Linked DNA regions of Rattus norvegicus. The protein of the gene in region 1 interacts with the protein of each later gene in a pairwise test. Links are inferred from orthologs where the notes say so. Each region holds a gene or a part of one and is shown on either strand. Other genes may lie near its edges. The genes, in order: Rapgef4, Swap70 and Bmerb1.

The links.
Region 2: the proteins of Rapgef4 (region 1) and Swap70 interact in a two-hybrid assay, tested with the Homo sapiens proteins (2 studies listed by BioGRID and IntAct). The link is inferred for Rattus norvegicus from reciprocal best matches to the Homo sapiens genes RAPGEF4 and SWAP70.
Region 3: the proteins of Rapgef4 (region 1) and Bmerb1 interact in binary tests that used the Homo sapiens proteins (3 or more experiments, as listed by UniProt). The link is inferred for Rattus norvegicus from reciprocal best matches to the Homo sapiens genes RAPGEF4 and BMERB1.

What each region holds. Positions count from the first base shown.
Region 1 is NC_086021.1:77,215,573-77,219,891, forward strand, and holds the start of Rapgef4 (rap guanine nucleotide exchange factor 4), read left to right. Parts: upstream 1-1,474; 5' UTR 1,475-1,545; coding exon 1,546-1,610; intron 1,611-4,319.
Region 2 is NC_086019.1:173,750,874-173,754,518, reverse strand, and holds part of Swap70 (switch-associated protein 70), read right to left. Parts: intron 1,413-3,645; coding exon 1,305-1,412; intron 61-1,304; coding exon 1-60.
Region 3 is NC_086028.1:2,450,861-2,455,136, reverse strand, and holds the start of Bmerb1 (bMERB domain-containing protein 1), read left to right. Parts: upstream 1-1,408; 5' UTR 1,409-1,587; coding exon 1,588-1,690; intron 1,691-4,276.

The DNA.
Region 1 (4,319 bases):
GTGACCTCCCATGCCACCTTGAGCCTCTGTGCAATGACAGGTGATATATTGTCTTTTCCCCCCTCTGACTCCTCACCTCTAAGGATTCTCTGAGGCATTTGGAGCAAGCATTCAGTAACCTTGAAATGTCCCAATGCAATGGTGCTGATATCTTTATAAACAAAAATATTTAGAAGACACGTCTCCTTCACACCCTGTAAGATGACATCGTTGGAAATCTTAGCGCGGTACAGTATGGTAAGTGATATTTATGGTAAGCAATAGAGAGTAACAGAATGAAACTGAGCTGAGGGACAAGCCCCGTGCAGGGAGGTGCTACTGAAAGCAATTGTTTGCAGGTCTGAAACCAGATACTGTCTATTGAACATGGGGAAATGGAAAATTTTCTGGAGAGAGATTTAAGGTCAAGGTTGTTGTATGAGAACAAAAGCATCCCAGAAAGAAGGCACAGGCTGTTTCCTGCTCCCCAGGTTCTCTGCATCGGCCCTAAAAGGGGGAGCGTGTGTGGGGACAGTATGGATGAGCAGAGGGTAAAGCACTGTTCGTTCCACCCATACCTACTCCTAAATGTATTGAATATCAAAACGGCACTTGGTAGGAGTCCAACCGATTTAACTTGTCCCCACATTCCTGAAAAACGGTCTTTGTAAATTATTTTGTTTTTTGGCAGAGTCTAACTGAACAACTTCTAGGCATAACATTCACAGCGAGCACCTACGGGAGGCAGGCAGTTGTGGCGTCCCTCAGCACTCGGCCTGAGTTCATGGAGCACCCAGGAACTTGGCTTCCAGACCTGAACCCCTAATTCTGCTTGGGATTCAGGGATATCCCATTCTTAATTGTTTCATTTTGTCATGCTTGGGTCATGGAGCCCAAGCAAGTCCGAGGTTCAAGGCCGGTGACTTCAGTTTGCACCCCCTTATTATCCTCTGGTCTCCTGGGTCCTTTTGCCTCAGACCATGACCACACGGTCTCTTTCTGTCCTTCCCAGCCCCCAACGCCCCTCAACCTTCAGAATCATTTACCCTTTGGGGTCCACAACGAGATCATGGTGTCCTCCACCCCCACCTCATTGCCAGTCTTCCCAGCCCTGCCCTCTCTCATCCCTATTTAAATGGGAGACCGTAAAGGTGAGCCAGGAGCAGCTAGCAAGTTTTGACAGCTACCGAGGAGGACTAATGGGTTTCTAAGGAAACGGAGAGGCAGCAGCCATTTTAGTGGCATTTGCCGTACGAAAAATTTATAGAGTCTGACATCCCCTCCCAACGCGCACCCGGGTGGCACCGGCAGCAGACCCCCACCCCCCACCCCCGGAGGTGAGGGTAGACGCGGGCTTGACTGAGCCGGGCACCTGCCGCAGGTGTCCTGGGGTCGCCGCTCCTGGCGGGCGGGCGGGGCGGCGGGGCTCCCACGCGGGCGCCGCAGTGCAGCGCGGGCCTCGCGCCTGGCCCGCCCCTCGGTCCCCGCCCCGCAGGCCGCGGGAGCCCGCCGGGAGGCGCGCGGGAGGTGGCCGCGGCCCGGGGCCACCGTGCGCTGCTGCCCAACATGGTTGCTGCGCACGCTGCACACTCTCCGTCCTCGGCCGAGTGGATCGCCTGCCTGGATAAAAGGTACGGGGGGTGGGGTGCGGGATCTGGGTTGCAGGGGGTCACTCGTGGGGTGCCACCTGCGGGAGAGCATTCCACGTGCCAGGAACAGAATGCGGCGCTGTGGGGGACAAGGCGCCAGCCTGCCCTGGTCCCCTTCCTCCCCGCTGAGACTCCACGCTCCACTCGTGGGTGGGTGGGTGGTTTCCAATGGCATTAAGACCAGGGAGGGTACATGCATGCGGGCTTCAGGCTGTCCAGACCCTCAGGGAGAATGTCATTTAAGTTTTCAGGAGGGGCGGGGAGAAGGGGGCTATGCATGCAGGTGCAGAGTCACCTTTTTTTGTTTAAGGAAAACCAAGTGTGAGGGACTCAGTGGAGCTGTCAAGTCCCTTGCTGAAATTCACAGCTCTCTTCCCCAGGCGCTCTCTCAAGGTCTGTGTGAGGAAGGTCACCCGGGAGGTGGTTTTCTTCGTCTTAATCTTCTGCAGAAAAGACCCTCACTCTAAAGAGGAATTTAAACCGTAGAGTACTGACTCTGGCCGGCCTCTGATGAAGGCGCCCTGGGTGACAACCCATTGCAGTTGTTCCCAGGCTCTAACGGTGTAATTTTCTGTTTGTCCAAATTGCAAATTTAACAGTAAACATTACACAGTATGTTAGCAATTACAGTTTATTACCCTAAGGAAAAAGGTGAGGCATCTGAACTTTGAAGAAACAAGCAAAATGTCTTGCTGAGTGAACTGCCTCTGAATCTCAGAGTTCGGTGCCAAAGGCCAGTGATTCATATCTTGCAGCAATCTGCGTGATATCAGAATTTGCATTTGTGGGACATATTTTGGGCTCTGCCATATTGAAAATTTTTTCAATGAACGGATTTGTGACTGGATCAAACTTGAGAATCTTAAGAGTGGCCTGCTATGCATGTTCTGCTATGGTAGGCCTTTGATGAAAAGATATTAACTAACTGAAAAGAGCTAAATGTATCCGATTTGGATAACTTAATGTGATAAATAATCCTGACTTTTAGCTACTACACGGCAGCAAGAATATTTTTGGCAGGCGTTGCCCCATTTCCGACTAAAATGGTATGTTCTAATATTAGAGAGATTATATGCAGTAAACAGTCCAACAGTTGAAGAGACGGTTAAGTCATAGAGAATTCTGTGGAGGAATGAAAGGCATGTTTAAGCCGAGGGCCTGCTAATGTGATCAGTAATCTAAATTTAATACTTTAGGAAAAATGAGCTATAAAACAAGAGATAACCAGGAGCTTACACTTAACCTATGAATAGTGCTTCCTCGTGAGGGATCACTTTGGGTAGGAAGCCACATACTTCTCTTTGCAGAAGTGCATATCGGACAGTTTTTGAACAGTCAGTAATTCACTGGAAATCCTTTAGTCAGTGAGTACTCACGGCAAAGTCACAGAGTAGCAGAAGTGTGAGTGGAGTTCACAGGGTGTTCTGCCTACATGGCTGTATTCAGAATGGATTTTTAGGACATGTTGCCACAGTTTAATGCCACCGTTCATAATGGGCAAAAAAAAAAAAACCAAAAACAAAAACAAAAAAACTCCACACAAACACAAAAATAAAAACCAAAAACAAACAAAAATAAAGGTAGACAAAAAACCAAAAACCACAGCAGAAAGACCTTCCCCTTCCTGAGCCTCATGTTACTGAAATTCAGGTGGATAAGCTAAGGATGATTTAGGCTCAGAGTTCCCACCAGTTCTGATCTTGTACTTCATCACTTTTGCTTCCTGAGTTTGAAAAATGAGTGTCTCTGGCTCACCCCCAGCAGAAGGGAGGAAAAAGCTTCCTAGTGCTTTGGAAGTTAGGAAGTGCCCTGCGTATGTTTTATTTCCTCAGTGTGAAGACCTTCTTGTCTATTCTGTGGCCTCGCTCCCAGAATTCCTCAGAAGAGTCATTTAGGAGGAGCGCTTTCATTGCAAGCCAGTAGGAGGGGCACATTTTGAAGTTGCAATTTTAAATGTAGTCTGTTAAATTTTTAAAATGAGAGAGTGAAGGCCGAGAGTGGGGATGAAAATTGTCTGGGGAACTCCCTGTGCTGCCTTCTGTTCCAGGCACTGTGCTAGGCATCGAGGCGTAAAAAAGACGAAAGGTGCTTCTTGGCTGGGAGGGGCTGAGGGTGTGGTGGTGGGGTAGCTAGGCAACTGTAACTGCAGTCCAGTGATAAATGCTTTAACAAGGATGTGTAAAGTGCTTTGGAAATGCAGAATCAGGCCTGGACAGGAGAGGCTGAGGGTTATTCTGTCAAAGACAGAGTATAAGAAGGTCAGGCCAGGCAGAGGAGCAGGTTGGGGAAAGAAGGCACACAGGTATAGCAATAGACTAACCTTTCCTCCCCACAAAGGGATGCTCCATTTTCTAAATCTTGTATCATGGACATTTCCAAGTGTGCACAAGTAGAGAAGGACCAACACAGTGAAGGGGTATTTGGGACTATGATGATGGGATCATATAGTAAGTTTAGCTGAGAAATATAGTTCCAACGTTTGCACGAGCCAAATGACCAGGAGTCTGGATATCTGAAATAAAGAGGAGCCCAGAGATTGGAAATAGAAGAGAGAGTCGATGGACCTAGCACAGTCAGTAAAATGTCTGCTGTACAGATATCAGAGTTGCCAGCCACCTGTGCAGAAAGCCTGGCATTGCAGCAAACATCTGCTGACCCAGCCATGGGGGAGCATAGACAGGGGCTCATTGG
Region 2 (3,645 bases), on another chromosome or scaffold:
CAGATACTGCTCCAGTTCAGAGGACTTCTGGGCAACCTGCTCCTCCATTTGCTGTCTGATCTGGAGGGATGAGAGGAGTGTGGTTTTGCTTAAATTGGGGTGACCGTCCCCAGGGCGAGGTTCCCACCGCACCTCTGCCTTTCAGCTAAGGGTGTAGGAAAAGGAATGTACAAACAGCATCCGTACTAGGAATCCAAGAAAATGAACTGCGAGCCAGCACTCACTCCCTCTGTGTGCTGTCCTTTTACTGTATATTTGTATTCAAGTCTAGAAAAAGTGTAACTTCTCTTTAGATTCTTTTCTGTCTTAAAGTCAGAAACCTCTTTTCAGATCTTAAGAAGAATGAACCTTTGCCCAGGCAGAGCAGCTTATGAGCTGCAGGCCCTACAGCCTCTACTCCTTCCCCACCCCTGGGCGCCAGTATACTCAACAAGTGCATGGCTTTCCCCTCTGGATTGAAGAGGCTTTAATCCCTGTCTTCAAAAACACAAAGACAGGGCTGGGGTTCAGCTTACTGGTAGAGTGTTTACTTCACATGTGTGCCCAGTACCCTGACACACACTGTCACACATTGGTGTACTTCTCTGCACCTTAGAATTATGTCACTAGCGTTAGCTCCCTGTGTCTGTGAGTCCTGAGAGCTCACAGAATAACCTGTGCAGGGAGCACACACCAATCACAATCACACTAGTGCTCAGAGAGACAGCAGGGAGGGAGGGCAGCTGGACATCACATACATCACATGCGCCTTCCTGAACACACGCAGGAACCTTGCCTCTAAGAACAAGTGACTAACACCAGATCGCGTTCAGACGCAGGGCCCAGCACAGCAGCACTCCATGAGAGACCTGTGCTCCGGTAACTGCCTAGCTCCAGAAAGCAACTGGACCTTGGTGTGGTCTGAACAGCAAACGGAGCTCAGAGCTGTGTTCACCTTGCTCATTACGGAGGAGAAATGCTGTGTGTTGAGGTGTCCTCTCAAACAGCTAGTGACTGCCCATACTACAAAGCTTTTGAGAATGAAAAGGTCCTGGTTGCCCCAGGATGACAGAGACATCTCAAAGCAAATGAGGACATGTAACCATGCTGACTAAGCACTCCTCACCCCACCACACACAATTCTGCTTTAGGGGTGTGGCAAACAAGGTGCCCATCCTCTTCCTCCACCTCTCAAATACACAGAAGATGCTTAAAGAATAGTCACAAACAAGCGCACGACTCCCCAGTCGCCACCACAAGGCACAGCAAAGCCAGGGTGAGGTAGCAGCCAGGCCTTCCTGAGCTGATCGGCCATTCTGACTTACCAGCTTCTCCCGCTCCAACTCTGTGCTGAACCTGGTCTGTAGCTCTACCTGAGTCTGCAGGCGCTTCTTTTCCTCGTCTGCGGCACGAGATGCTGCTTCCTCCAGTTTCTAATCAATCAATCAATCAACCAATCAATCAGAAACCCATTCCCAAAAAAAGCAAAACTGTTACAGTGGAAGAGAAAGTCTTGCTTAAGCATGTAACAAAACCATACGCTCAATAAAACAGAACTAAGTCAAAGCCGTGAGACACACTGGAATTCCATCCAGTCTGCCCAGTCAGCATATAAAACAAATCAGGTATGAATGCTTGAGTATAAACACTGTACACAGAGAATCTGAGGAGGCCACTGAAACATAACCATGTGCAACTACGCTCACACAGTTTGACCAAGTTCCGGAGCTTTCTATACAGTGCTGTCTCCTAGCACGCTATTCCTTACGTCTGTAACCAGAGTTCAGCTTCCAGGTAGGTGACACTGACAGCTTCCTCAGCACCCACACCCATCCTCAACCCCTCCAAGACCAACTGGTTTCAAAAAAACAAAACATATTAAACTCTGCAGGCCATGCCATCGCATATTCATCTAGGAAAACTCTGGAGTTGAGACTGTAGCTGTGCAGTAGGGTGCCTGCCTAGCAAGCCACGAGGCCCCACAGTTGATCCCCTCCACCCTCAAAGCAAATCACAAACAAACAAAAACACAGAAAACAACAACAAAAGATAATCAACTGGACCTTAGGACACAGACACTGGGGCATTTCAGGCACTCCCTCCCCTCCCCCAGGCAAGAAGGAGTGCTCCTGGCAGATGAAAATGAGACAAGGGCGCCCTCTGTCCTCTGCTCACAGCTCAGTTTACAGTAAGGGAGGAGCAGCTGCTGGGTTTTCATGAAGCTTCCCCAGGGTGGGGTCAAGGGCACTGGCAGGCAGAGAAGACAGGTCTGACCACCCTGGTCTCAACTCACTTGGGCAAAAGGTCCATGGAGAGAAGGAAGTAAAAGTGACAGAGGCTGTGCCCTCTGCTTGGTGGCAGAGGATCTTAAAGCAGGACTGTGGATGGCTCCAAGTCTGTGCTGCTGACTCCACCCAAGCTCACGAAACTTGCAATCCTCCTGCTTCAGCCTTCCAAGTGCTGGGGTTGTAGGTCTGTGCCATCACACACCCAGCCTTCCAGGGAAGTTTTGCTCAAGGAGAAAAGCAGGCTCTGCAGCCCTCACCGAACCTAACTTTGTTATGTGAGGCGTACAAACTAGATTCGGGCAGGGATTAGGAGTAGCCCCACCAGGAAGCAGCCAACCAGATTAGTTGAGCCTGACAGAAGCAGGAAGGTCTGGCTAGGCAGAGCCCTCTTTAAGACTGGCCTTGAGAGGAATGGCTCTGAAGTTAACCTCAGACTGTAAGCATTCCTAGGGTTCTGCAGAAAACATTATCAACCATCCAGAAACCAGTGAACTCTGGCAGGCAGTCAGGGGTGAGTGCACTGAAAGTGTACAGTAATAGGGAGGGGAGGGGAGCCTGCGGAGGGAGGGTCATTCCAGGCGACTGTGGCTGTGCACAGCCCAGCTTGCAGCCCTGAGGAGCAGACTGAAGGCCTCAAGGGTCCAGGAAATAGTCCAGCCAAGTCACTAAATAAATAACCACACAATGACAAGCTTCGGGTAGGGGCATCAGGATCAGTATCCATGGTTCCCACACCACCTTATCTTCTAAAAACATCCAGTTTTCAACTAAAAAAAGAGTATGAGAAACAGGAAAGTGTAACCCCTATGTGGGAAAACAGTCAACAGGCACTGCCTTTGAAGCAGCCCAGGAGGCATATCTACAAAGCCATTACAGTAAATATACTATAAAGAATGAAAGGAAGTCATGGTTAAAGACATAATGGAAGGAATAGCAAAATCCCACACGTGGAGAAAGCATATAGATAAAGAGGCTCCTTTAAGAGCCAAGTGGAGATTGCTGAGCTGTAATGTTCAAGAACTGACTGAAAAGTCCTCTAGAGGGCCGGGTAGAGCAAGAGGACAGTATGCACAGCATTAGGAGGCCAGGACGTGGTATGCCGAGCACGCCTATGATTCCTAACGTGGAGGCTGGAAACGGAAAGATCAGAAGTTCAAGGCCAACATCCCTAAGTAGAGCGCTGAAGGCTAGCCTGGGCTACAAGATCTTATTTCAAAAAATAATCAACCGGAGGGGCTCAACGGTCTACTTGGGCTACTACAAGACCTGCACTAAAGAGATACACAGAAATTATACCATCAGAAGGACAGAAAACCAAGCAAAATAAACAGCTCCAGAGAATCTAGGCACTTTTATACACAATATTCTGTTCAACAAC
Region 3 (4,276 bases), on another chromosome or scaffold:
AGATGGCCCAAGTCTGGTTTCTAGCTGTCATGTCTGGTGGCTCACAAGAGTACTCACATTCACATAAACCTCCCCCATGCACCCCAGCTCATGCACATACATATGTTTTAGGCTCTCTAAATATAACCACAGTCAAGGAAATCAGGACAATAAGAGGCAGAATCCAAATTCATATAGTTTAGCCAGATTCAGGCGCTGATGAGCTACCCTGGCAGTTTGGAGCTATGGGTAAGTGATCTCTCTGCACACTTTAATTCTGTCTTCTGTAAAGCAGGGGGGAGTGAAGTGCTAGGTTTCACAGAAATATTGGGAAATGTTCTATGTTTAGCAGTAATTCAAAAAGTAGTATTGGGTTTTATCAATAGCTATACTTCATTCATTCATTCATTCATTCATTCATTCATCCATTCATTTATTCATTTGAGACATGGTCTGCTACACACAAATGCCCTATGTATCCAAGGATGAATTTGAATTTCAGATCCTCCTGCCTCTTCTTGTATGCTAGGATCGCACACCTGGTTTATGTAGTGCTAGGGCTAGGATCCAAGGCTTTGTGCACATTATGCAAGCATTCTGCCAACTGAGATGCTTTCTTATCCCCTAACTTTATATTAAAACCAAAAAAGTGTGCATGTGTAGGTCAGAAGTTGGTATAAGGTATTGTGGAGCAAGCAAGCCCTGAGGTTCCTGCTTTTACTCCTGGCACTGTGTACATTGCTGTCCCTGCTCTTTTAACATCTGCTCTGTCCTGTAGATCGGACTTGGGTCCTCATGCTTGGGCTGTGAATGTTGAACCAATTGAGCACAGTTGCCTGTCCTGACACTTTTTTTTTATTGCTGCTATGTTTGGTCACTATAATTATTTTCTAGGTTTGTAAAGATCAGTGTTCTGAACAGCTTTGTAGGCCATATATACAAAATATTTTTGCTTCACTTGTTCTTGTACACACACACACACGCACACACGCGCCCACACACATACACACACACACACACACACACACACACACACACACACACACACACACACAGGGTGGCTGCTGTCCACCCCCCTTTTATATTAAAATCATGTACATAAATGCAAACAACACAGAACCCAAAAGCAGCAGTCCACACTTGGACTTGTCCACAAAGAAGGATCATCATCCACAAATACGTTCTTGAAACCTACCAGCCCTCTAACAGATCCCAAGACACCCACAGTGCTAGATCCATCCACACAAAGCTTATCTACTGGCTTCAATGTGGGCAGGTGCCTTATTCTTGCTTCATTTGGGGGTGATTTTATTTTAGTTGTTTTTGCTTTTGTTGCTCTAGAGAGTTTATCATCTGTCCCTCTTTCTCCCTACCCAGTCCCCAAACCTCCTCCCCCCTCCAGCCTCCATTGCGCATGTGTTATGCATCCCTCCCCCATCCTGGGTACCAGTTGGGCGTTTTCGGGTGCTGGAGATTGAAGAGATGGAGCAGCTTCCTCAGCAACGCCCTGCCCCTTAAAATACTGCCATTCTGAGCCGCCTTCCTCCCTGCAGCCTTCAGCAGGGATGGAGTGAAACGGACCCCTGGACCTGCTCGCGGGGATCAACAATGGAGTTAAAGCAATCTCTGTCTGTTCATCTGGAAGCCGAGAAGCCTCTGAGGCGCTATGGGGCGGTGGAGGAGACAGCATGGAAAGCGGAGGGACTGGGAAGTGAGTGTTCGGGCAGGGAACGGGTGGGGACAGTTGGGGACTCTCTTGCTGAACTGAGGCCCCCTAGAGCAGACCAGAACGCGGGCGAGCAGACTGGGGAAGCGCCCCCGCAGCAGGGCTTCCAGTGTTGCACAGTAGCAATATTCTCCCTACAAACAAAAGAGAGGACCCTCCAGGGCTGGGCTGCTCCGGAGGCTCCTTTGGAAATCCCGAGGCAGCTAAGCTAGGAATCCAGCTGAGCTGGACTAAGGAGTCCAAGATCAAGCAATTGGAGGCTGCTTTTGAGAAGGACCACCTTTCCCGCATCCCAGGAGGAGGGATGCTGGAGTGTTGGGATGATTGAGGGCACAGGAGCCAAGGGCAGCTTGGAAAGCGCCCACATACAGAGATGGGGGAGTGTCAGAATCCTCTTTATGTCTTGAGGTTCAGGGCATAGCTGAAATCCCAGCATCTTCCCACCTCCTCCCAGGTCAGAGGAGAGGTGAAAGAGCAAGCCAGGGCAATGTTAGCGCTCTGTCGTCCCTCCTCCCCACCTCTGTTAGCCCTTGACTCAATGATCCAGTTTGGTTTGGTTCAGCTCTTGGAGGTGGTTTTGAAGCAGACCTCTGCAATCACCGGTTCTCTCTTAGGTGTTTTGGTATCAACAAACATCTCTAAATGAATCCAAGACTTTTGCTTTCAATTTGCTGGACACAATACTTGAAACTCTGCGAACAGTGGAGGCTATCTGAAGAGTCTAAAGCCACTGATGTCCCTACGATTCTAGGGGCTTCCCAATGTCCTCCACCCTGCCTCCTGTTCTGGTATGACTTGCCCAGCAGCCCTGGTATAGCCTTCAGAACTGGAGAAAAGCCCTTTTGCTTTCTTAGGGCCCCTGCAGCTACCTGCTCTGACTGGGTCTCTGGGCTTAGTGCTCTTCCCTTGCAGCAGCCCCTGAGTTACATGTACTTAAAGTATTGTAAATAAGGTCTTTTCCTATCCTCACGTAGGAGAAAGTGTGTGTGTGTGTGTGTGTGTGTGTGTGTGTGTGTGTGTGTGTGTTTTCTCCATTCTTGTAACTATGAACTCAATAACTAAGCTATATTGTGTTTGGATATCAAGTTCAAGTCCTGCTCTGATGGGTGTTCTAATGCTTCCAACCTCTTTCTTTCTTACATTTTCTTTTTCCTTAAAAGCACCCAGATCTTTTCCCTTGCTTCATCCTTCCTAAACCCTTTGGCTTTGGCACTTTGAGGTAATCTAGAGGTTGCAAATCTGTGGTTTACAAGCTCAAAATAATAACAGCCATGGCTGCCTTGTATTGTTAGATTGCCATGTCCTGAAAACTTCAGAAACACCTCTCATTTATCCCTGCTACAACCTTGTGTGGCATTGTGATGCCTTTTGCATGGATGAGGTGGAGGCTTGCTAGGCAACACAGAAGAAAATGATAGGACCAGGATTCAGACCCAGATTAGTTGAACTCCATACATTTTTCATGAAGGTTTACTGCTTCACAGTTTTAAGAACCTTCCTGGGTTTGTTTCAAAAAATGGTCAGTAATTTTATAAGCAGATATTGGCCATGTTGGTCCCTGCAGTCCACAATGCTTTATAGACAGTTGGGTCTCCATGGAGGAGAAGCCAAGGAGTCAAGGAATCCCTGGTTTGACTAGGGCTCTGCGCTTTGTGATAAGGTGTGTTTCTGTCCTCTAGCTTTGCTCTTTGAAAATGGGGATAATAATATCATCTACCACGTGGCTTTCTTTACAGCATGACTATTGATAAGATGGTGTGTGCAAAGCTCAGGTAAGTTCTCAGGACACAGCTATGTTTCAGTGGTTCCTCTGTAGAGGGAACCACTTTCATCCTTTCCATTCAACTGCATAGAGCAAGACTGTGAGTTCAAACTGCAATATTGGGCATAGCTCTGTGAGTTCTAGGCCAGCCAGGGCCACAAAGTAAGATCCTGTCTCAAAACAGAAACCAAAAACAAACTGAAATGTTAAGCAGTCCCTTAAAGCATTCTCTCCTCTCTCCCTGCCACATCTTTCTCTGCCTGTCCCCCTCCCCCACCATGGTCTCATATAATCTAGTCTGGCCTCAAGCTCTCTGTAGCCAAGGATGACCTTGAATTTTTCTGCCTGTCCTCTCAAGCATTGGAACCCAGGTGTGTGCCAACACATTCAGTTCCTTCTCATTTTCCCATTTTTTTTAAACTGGGACCAAATTCAAGCATGTAGGGAAAACTGAGGTAAGAATTCACTTTAAACAACACAAGTTCCTGAAAATTTTGTACTTCTGAGTCCTGGCTATAGGTGCCTTGATCCTCTTTGTCCAAAGCCTCCAAGATTCTGAGACTTGCTTCTTGTTTCAGTACCAGATTAGTTTCTTATGTGCCTTGGCACAGATTCCCAACAACCCCCATCTCTTTAAGCTACTCACATTTGAAATCTTGAAGTGGGAATCCAGAGGCCCACTTTAGATTCTCAACTCTGACAAGTTTTGGCATCTTAATTCCTGTCTCTAAGCAAGCATTTTGGAATTTTTGTTTACATGTAAGCATCCTCTCAATTCACAAGGGATTTACAGAGCTATCCCACAGGTG